Schizosaccharomyces pombe: one gene and its partner. The gene in region 1 interacts genetically with each later gene. Each region holds a gene or a part of one and is shown in the gene's direction. Other genes may lie near its edges.

Evidence for each region.
Region 2: of hta2 (region 1) and mdb1, a mutation in one rescues a mutant of the other (synthetic rescue), as found in Schizosaccharomyces pombe (one study listed by BioGRID).

Annotation. Positions count from the first base shown.
Region 1 is NC_003424.3:4,051,621-4,055,165, reverse strand, and holds hta2 (histone H2A beta), read left to right. Parts: upstream 1-1,847; 5' UTR 1,848-1,918; coding exon 1,919-2,314; 3' UTR 2,315-2,720; downstream 2,721-3,545. Other genes in the region: RNA-binding protein Rsd1, read left to right, coding at 1-84, 181-318, 366-539, 612-932, 982-1,056, 1,098-1,356; mce1 (citrate transporter), read right to left, coding at 3,163-3,545. UniProt on the Schizosaccharomyces pombe protein: Core component of nucleosome which plays a central role in DNA double strand break (DSB) repair. Nucleosomes wrap and compact DNA into chromatin, limiting DNA accessibility to the cellular machineries which require DNA as a template.
Region 2 is NC_003424.3:2,881,968-2,887,256, reverse strand, and holds mdb1 (BRCT domain protein Mdb1), read left to right. Parts: upstream 1-1,915; 5' UTR 1,916-2,036; coding exon 2,037-2,270; exon of another isoform or gene 2,271-2,324; coding exon 2,325-2,417; exon of another isoform or gene 2,418-2,473; coding exon 2,474-3,715; intron 3,716-3,767; coding exon 3,768-4,073; 3' UTR 4,074-4,464; downstream 4,465-5,289. Other genes in the region: iph1 (metallopeptidase), read right to left, coding at 1-218; SPOM_SPACUNK4.13C (NTPase Ylf2), read right to left, coding at 536-1,533, 1,625-1,665, 1,731-1,915. UniProt on the Schizosaccharomyces pombe protein: Involved in DNA damage response (DDR) mediated through its interaction with phosphorylated H2A proteins hta1 and hta2 which mark the discrete foci of DNA damage.

The DNA of each region.
Region 1 (3,545 bases):
GGAATTATATGATTTTTTCGAACAAGCTGGTCCTGTTCGCGATGCTCAAATTGTTCGAGACAAGATTAGCGGACGATCGAAAGGGTATGTCTTATAATTTTTTTTTTTTTTTTAAATAGATATTATTCTGTTTTTTTTTATTTTTCAAATTGGGTTCGTTTGCTAACGAATATAATATAGTGTTGCATATGTGGAGTTCTGTCACGAGGATTCTGTACAGGCGGCTATTGCGCTTTCTGGTAAGCGATTGTTGGGTCTTCCTGTCATTGTACAACTTACAGAGGCTGAAAAAAATAGAAAAGCTCGTGAAGCTGCTGAGTAAGTTTTTACTAAGCATCCATTATTTTTGTCTAACTTATTTGTAGATTGGCACGAGCCGCTAGCGCTGAAATTCCATTTCACAGATTGTGTGTCTCAAACATTCACTTCAACCTTACTGATGAAGATGTTAAGGCAATTTTCGAACCTTTTGGCGACATAGAATTTGTACACCTTCAGCGTGATGATCAAAACCGAAGCAAGGGTTTTGGTTATATACAGTATGTTTTCAAAAAATTAGATTGATATTTATATCTATTTAACTTCAACGACACTAACATTATATTTTTTAGATATCGAAATCCTATAAGTGCGAGAAATGCTTTGGAGAAAATGAATGGCTTTGATTTAGCCGGAAGAAATATGAGGGTTTGTTTGGGCAATGATAAATTTACTACAGAAACAACTAGTTCCATGCTGAAGCGCTTTGACGAAACGTTGGCTCGCCAAGAACGTAGTCAACCTTCTCAACGTAATGGCGGTTCATCAACCTACGAATCACAAGACTATCGAGAAGCAGCTCCTTTATCTCCTACTGAAGAAGAAAGCCGTCCCATTACAAGAGATGAGCTAATGAAAAAGTTAGCACGCTCTGAAGACATTTCAGACAACAGGTATGTCTTGTTTTAACTTGGATCCTTTTTGTCTTCTAACATAAAGCAGTAAACTGGTATCTGAACCAGAGCCTCCAATTCGTAGTAGATGTGCATTATTAGAAAACATGTTTAATCCTGCTGAGTACGTTTTTTTTATGATTCATAATTGACTAACCTTTAAAGGGAAACATCACCTAATTGGGTGCAAGAATTGGAGCAGGACGTCAAAGAAGAGTGTGATGAAAAGTACGGCAAAGTAGTTCACATTGCTGTTGTACCGAATGAATTGGGGCAGATATTTGTAAAATTTGAAAATGCCGATTTTGCTGAAAAGGCAATCACTGGACTCCATCAACGTTGGTTCGGAGGGCGTACAATAAAGGCATCCATTTTACCGGAAACGGATTACTACTTCAAATTCCCTAATGCCAAAACTGCTTAAACGTCGCTCTCTACTAAACTTTGCTCTGGAATTGATGTGTTTTACCTTTTCTCAGAAAGTTCTTTTAAAACAAAGCTTTTTGTACTTTTGCACGTCCTGTTATATTTAGTTTAAACTACGATGGTCGATATTTAGTAGCAGACTTTTCTTTTTCCGTAAAATTAAGAGTATACTTAGTTTAATAAAATCATAAATATGTACATATATTGATTGAATTTTAATTATGTCTAACTAAATACATTCGACGAATTTGCAGGATCATATATTATAAGGTAGTATACAATCGTTCTAATCATAGTTACTGTGTCTTTTATATATTCCCTAAATATACTTAACGAAATTCGTTGTGCGTTCCAAATGCTGAGTATAATATCACTGAAACGAGTCTGCTATCATTCAGTGATGAATGCCCATAAACATCCATCAAAACCCTAACCCTGTATATTGCTGTATATAAAAGAGCTTGTCGCTGCATCATCTTCTTCTTCTCTAAATATTGGGCAATTGAGCAATCCTGCATACATTATTCCAATTTAAAACTTAAGTAATTTCTTTATCAAGCATGTCTGGAGGTAAATCTGGTGGTAAGGCCGCAGTCGCCAAGTCTGCTCAATCTCGTTCCGCTAAGGCTGGTTTGGCCTTCCCTGTCGGTCGTGTTCATCGTTTGTTGCGTAAGGGTAATTATGCTCAACGTGTTGGTGCTGGTGCTCCCGTTTACTTGGCTGCCGTCTTGGAGTATTTAGCTGCCGAAATCCTCGAATTGGCCGGTAATGCTGCTCGTGATAACAAGAAGACTCGTATCATTCCCCGTCATCTTCAATTGGCTATTCGCAATGACGAAGAATTGAACAAACTACTTGGTCATGTTACTATTGCCCAGGGTGGTGTTGTACCTAATATCAACGCTCATCTCTTGCCCAAACAATCTGGTAAGGGCAAGCCTAGCCAAGAGCTTTAAACTCTTAAATGAATGATAAATTGTATATTAAGATTATTTGTCGTTTATACTTAACTATTATTATACCACACTAATTGCTTGAACTGTTGGTTTCGTGACTTAATTCGTTCACACCTTTTTTTACGCAATTTCTCTATCAGAAATTTAGTTTTATCATTATATCAGTGATACAGAAACAAGTGCATTATTCGGTTGAGAAACTTTTTCATATGACTCATAATTCTTACGTTTTTATTTGGTTACATACTCTGTTTCAAGCTTAGTTGTTTGTACAGTACATTATTCGAGTTTGAATGATTGTTAGGTTTCCTGATGGTTGATTGACGCTTTCTTTTCTCGTTTGATGAACTTTCCGTGTTTTCCTCTTCCCTTTATTATACATTTCCTTTTTCAGCTTCCTTTGTATAGGCATAATTTGTTTATTATAGGTTTATTTTAATGAAAGAACTATTGGTTCAATATTCGCTAAACTTTTTGAGGTGCTTGTAGCATGTAATTACACTGCGTATTGTCTAGGTGCCTAAACATCAACCCAGATATATGGATTTGAATGAGTTTGGTGATTTATTATTGGTATAATTTAATTATGGTAGTAGTAACAGGGGCATTTAGGAAGTTGCAATTCAAAACATGCAAAACATGAATACTTCCAAAGCACAAAACATTTCAAAACTCTAGGGGGTTATATTTTTAATAATCTAACTATCTATAAAGCACCAAAGAAAGAATAAAATAATAAAAAGAAGATAATGTGAAAAAAGAACAAAACCAGTGAAGTGATTGCTTTAATGAAGCAATAATTATATATAACCAAGGATAAATCCATATTCCACTGCTTACGAGGATATTTAAAAAGGCTTGAGAATTTCCATAACTTTTTCGTAAACAGTGAATACAATACCACCACTGAGAATCAAACGAGCCAAACGGGGAGTAGCACCAGACCAGAAACGCAACAGACCATCTTGAGTTAAAATCTTATAAGCGCAATGAATACTGTTTTTGTATTCCTTACTAGCACTCAAAGATTGCATACGACTCTTGACAGTATCGATGGGTTGCGTACAATAAACGGTAATAATACCAGCTACAGAACCGACTAAGAAAGTGGTAACGGTACTCAACTTCTCATCTGGTGGTAATCTGCTTTGAAGGGATTGCTTGATACTATTATAGGCAGTAAAACGTACACCAGAATTAGCAGCTTGACGAGCGACAGTTGCAGCGAGAC
Region 2 (5,289 bases), 1.2 Mb from region 1:
AGATGCTCACAAAAGTGCGCCAATCCTAACAACTCTCGTGGATTGCTTTGACTGCCGATGTGAACGTCAATAGCTGCACTTGCATTATCTGTTTCCGGATCTCTCACTAGCAAAACCTCGAGGTCGTTTTCCAACTTAATAAGACGATACTCTCTATCATCCAAATTTGGAACAACTTGTCCATTAACTATCACTTCAACTTGCGGTTTCCCATCCATTTTTTATTTATGAAAGGAAAAGATAAAACAACCCAGAATTCTGACTACTGCTATTACACCCAAAAAAAGGGTAATATGTAAGAAATATGGCAATAGGTTGAATTATGTGTTTACATACACACAGTACGTAGGCATTACTGTTTAGAGGCCAATTTAACAAAATACACCGATGCACTAAATAATTTAATGTAATTAAAGCTATCCTACAAGTATAAAGTTTTGTAAACAAATAACTAATAAACACTTGAAAAGAAACATTATGAAAACGGTATTAATGAAATCTTACTATAATTAATTTAATTTAATTTAGATTATCACTAACGAGCAATTTTCCAGAAAATAATATCCCCGGGTTCGACAGTATAATCTTTCCCTTTCGTTTTGCACTTTCCTACGCTTTTACAAGCATCTACTGATTTGTACTTTTCGAAATCAGAAAACTTTATAACTTCTCCTGCAACGAACTTCTTCTTGAAATCTGAATGTATTATACCGGCCGCGTCAGGCGCCTTAGAGCCGTCGGCAATAGTCCAAGCTTGAACGATTTTTTCACTAGCTGTGAAATAATGTATCAAATTAAGTGCAGAATATCCCGCACAAATAATTTCTGATAATTGAGAATTTTTGCCCAAACTAGCGCATTCCTGCGCCGCCTCTTCAGGCGTAAGCATGAATAGCTGTTCTTCAAACAGAACTGAGAGAGGTATCACTTGATCACCAAAACTATTTTTCTCAACCCATTCTTTGATTCCTTTTAATGCTTCTTGTTCATCGGAAAGATAATCGTCTTGATCCATATTTACCAGATACACCACCGGTTTGGCAGTGAGTAAGTTTAAAGAATTTAAAATGGGAATCTGCTCGTCATTCCATTCAGCTTTAGATATTTGACGGCCTTTTCCTAATACTACTTCTAATGCTCTTCGTGCCGTATCAAGAGCTTTTGCACATGTTTTGGGCGAGCGGCCCTCCTTTTTTAAATATGATTCTAAAAACTCTGCGTCTTTTAACAATAGCTCTTCCTGTATTATTTGTAGATCTCTTACTGGATCAACTGACTTTTCAACATGAGGAACTTGAGCCTCTGGAAATGCACGTACCAATTGAAACAAAGCATCGACGGATCTAATGTTTGAAAGAAACGCATTTCCAAGACCTTCTCCCTTGCTTGAATTCCTTGTCAACCCTGCAGTATCATAAATAGTTAATTGCGCTGGGATACGCGTTTTAGGCTGATAAATTTCACAAAGCAATTCATACTGTGAATCAAGTACAGGGGCTTTTGCATGAACGGGATCGATTGTAGCGAAAGGGTCTTATAAATTTGTTTTGTTAGACAACAGAAATACAAAATATTATATCACTTATAATCAAAACTAATACTTGACTAAAATATGACAACGTACAGTTAGCAGGATTTCCCAGGTTTGTCTTTGTAAGAATTTGACTATATTTATTGTTAATACCGATCAATGAAGCAAATTTATCAGTTAAACCCTTGAACAAACGTACAATAAGGTGGATTTCCCAATGTTGGGCATTCCTACAATGCCAATTTTCAAATGATTTCCAGGTCGTCCCAATCGTTGCCGAACAATAGAAATATCCTTTTGTTTTGAATAGTATCTCCTAGTACAATTTACAGAAGGTAGACACTTTTGCGTTGACAACACTATCCTTGTAACTATACCACGCATTTCTTAACCATTCGATGAATTAATCACAGAGTTGTTGCTAAGCTTTTTCACGCAGTAACCAAAACATTAATTGTTAATTCCTCCTTGAAATTTTTATACGATCAATAGCAGGATTTGTAAAATGGAGATACAGTTTGGAAATCAGAGGTGTAGGATGGTAAATTCTGGGGGTTTTCTAGCTACTGATGGTTCCCATCTGAAGGAAATGGAAACAGATGATGTTCTTGTTGAATTCTTAAATATAGAACATCAACTTTTTATTCGAAATATTCGAGCTATAGTTAAAATAGCCGATACAACGGTGCTTCCATCTGCTAGCGACAAAAAGCTTCTTTATTATGTTTTTGACGAAACGGTATTATCTTTTTTCTATTGATTAATTGAGTAAGCTAATTATATACTTTTTTAGAGAGTAAGAATCAACGATACTCCTGTAATTTTTTCAAAATTAGAGGAGGATAATGCAAACGTGAATGAAGGATCCAAAATGGGAGTTATGACTGTATGTGCATTCCCTCATTATACTATTGTCAAAAAGACACTAACCTATTTTCCAAGGTCCCTAATACCCCGCAGAAGCCAAATTTGCAGCAACAAAAATTTGAAGCGATCAATGCGAATGAAGATCAAATTGATTATTCAAGTAACTTGGAACAAAATTACAATTCTTTAATTAGGCAAGGATCTGACCAGGTCATTCCCCTTTCGCGATTCGCTTCAGAAAAAAGTGCTTTAGAATTGGAAAAGGAACTCTTTTCTGAGAGAATTCCAGAATCGCAATCTGCCGCTGAGCCTGTTCTTAAAGTTGAAAACTCTGAGAATGATTTGGACGAAAAATTGGTATTGGACGGTCAACATGTGGAAGGCGACCATAGTTCTGACACTGAAGAGGAGGTTGTTTCTGAAGATCAAAAACAGTTGAATAAGACCGACGATGAGTCAACATTTATTGAATCACACCAAATTTATATACAAGGAGAAACAAAATCTCCTTCTTCTGTCTCGCAATCATTGAGTGGAGACCCATCCTTGAAGCCAGCAGAGGTATTTGATAGAAAGCAAAGTGCTGAAATAAACTCACCAATTGAGAAGGATGTGAATCCACAGCAAAACATATCGGACAGCTCTATAAAGAACAATAGCATTCACAGTGATGAAGTAAATCCAGAGGTTAGGCCAGATTTAACCCCCTCCAACGAAAATGAAGAAAGTAAAAGAAGTGCGCCGGAAATCGCTCTCAAAGAGAAGGAATCCACATCCCAGGATGAAAGTAACAGAGAAGCAGAAGAGGCACCAATTTCCACTAATTATTCTTTCCCCTCATCATCTTTAGAGGATCAACCTGACAAGAATGTGCAGTCCTCGGCAGTTGAAAATAAAAACAAGCACACAAATCTGGTAACGTCGAGTTTCAACCTAACTAAACCGATGAAAAGTTTTATAAGGAGAAATGGTCTAAGGGTGCAAGAAAGTGTCACAGACGAAACCGACTTTGTCATCCTTGGTTCACCTCCACTTCGGAGGACACATAAGTTTTTACTGGCGACTTCTCTAGGTATACCACTTGTCTCTTCTCAATACTTGACAGACTGTATAAAATCAGGTAAAGTTTTAGATTTTCGTAGCTACAAATATAAAGACGAGGAAGCAGAAGCCAAGTGGGGATTTCGTTTGGACGATATCCACAGAAGAACGTGTTTCAATGGGAAAAGACTATACATTACAAAGGCAATTCGAGATTCGATGGTAGGGGATTCTATACACGGACTTTACTCAATTTTGGAAACATCTGGAGCTGAGGTAAGTGAAAGATGGAGAATATCTAGTTATGATAGGCTAATGATTTAAATAGATTGTTGGTGATATTAAAAGGGCTCAAGAGAAGGACACAATTATACTTGCTCAACCTGACAACGATCAAGAAGGACGGAATATGAGTGCTACTGGTTTAAATGTGTACAAGATTGAACTAGTAGCTTTATCCATCTTGCGTGATCGAATTGATTTTGATGAATTTTTGATTGACTATGATGCTGACAGTCCCACCAAAGTAATTGGAAAAAGAAATGTCTCAAAGGCATCCCGAACCGGGCAAGGAAGAAAACGATCCTCTCGTTCATCTTGGAACAAACCAAGTGCAAAGGAGCAAAGAACATAAAATTAAAGGTAAAGAGGACATCGTTTACTTTGTCTATTATTTATTTATAGAAGTATATTTGCAAACATATATTCTTGAGTTTCTTCTATGAAGGAGGACCATTAGAAATTATACAAAAATAGAATTTTAATAATGATATTAAATAAACGAGCGTATTTAAGGGCGAAGGATAAAAAACCTACACGGTTATTTAATGAAATATGCGATCTGTTAGTTGATTGTTAAAATCTTGAACCAATAAATTCAAGATACTCAACATAAATGAATCGATTTCAATACGCTTTTTTTTCTATTTTCCAGATAATGTATGAAAAAAAATAGTTTGACCAATTCCCGAAATTTATAATTATTACATCTCAATTAAAAAAACAAATAAAGAAATAAATAAAATGATATGAAATGAAGTACAAAAGGTTAATAAAAATAAATAACAAATTTCTACACGATTAAAAGATATAAAAGGTAAAAATCTTTATGAGTAGAAAAACGCATATACTTATTTGCGGTTTTAAGAGGAAGTAAAAGGAGGTAATTCCGAAACATAAAAATAAAGGGGCCTCATTATAGTGCTTCTTTTTAGTCTTGCAATTTTATTTTATTTTTTGAAAAGGTTTAGTTGTTTGTTTATTGACTACAAAACACAGCAAATCCACTCGTCATATCAGATCAAGCATACCGCATATCTAACAAATGATTCTGCAATGCATTGCACTTCACTGTATAAAATTTATTCATAAAATGCGCAATATGTATATCAGGCACTTATAGGTTTACCCAAATATGCTGTTAAATGGAATACACAGTTTTTTGCGCCATCTTACCATTTATAAAGCGTGAATTTAGAGACCCGCACATGCTTCCGCACACGGCCAAATGAGCGCTAAACCTCGGACGAGAAAGTGACCTGTGTGCTGTTTCTATTTATCGCATCGCTACGATGACATCATAGTGTGGTGAAAGCACCAGCTGTTATAAGCAGACCAACGAACCAACTCACTGTTCAACAATATTAATCAAGTTCTATTTCTTATACAAGCAATTTGGAAAATAAATCAAGTGTTAAATACATTCTTTGCTTGAGTGTATTTTATATTTTTTAGTGTTCTGTCCTTGCAATCGAAAAAAGCGCATTGACAGGTTTCGAAGCGAACAAGGAAATATCGGTTTTACTCTTGAAACAGAAATTTAACTGTATGTGAAAATTTTTTTTGGAGTT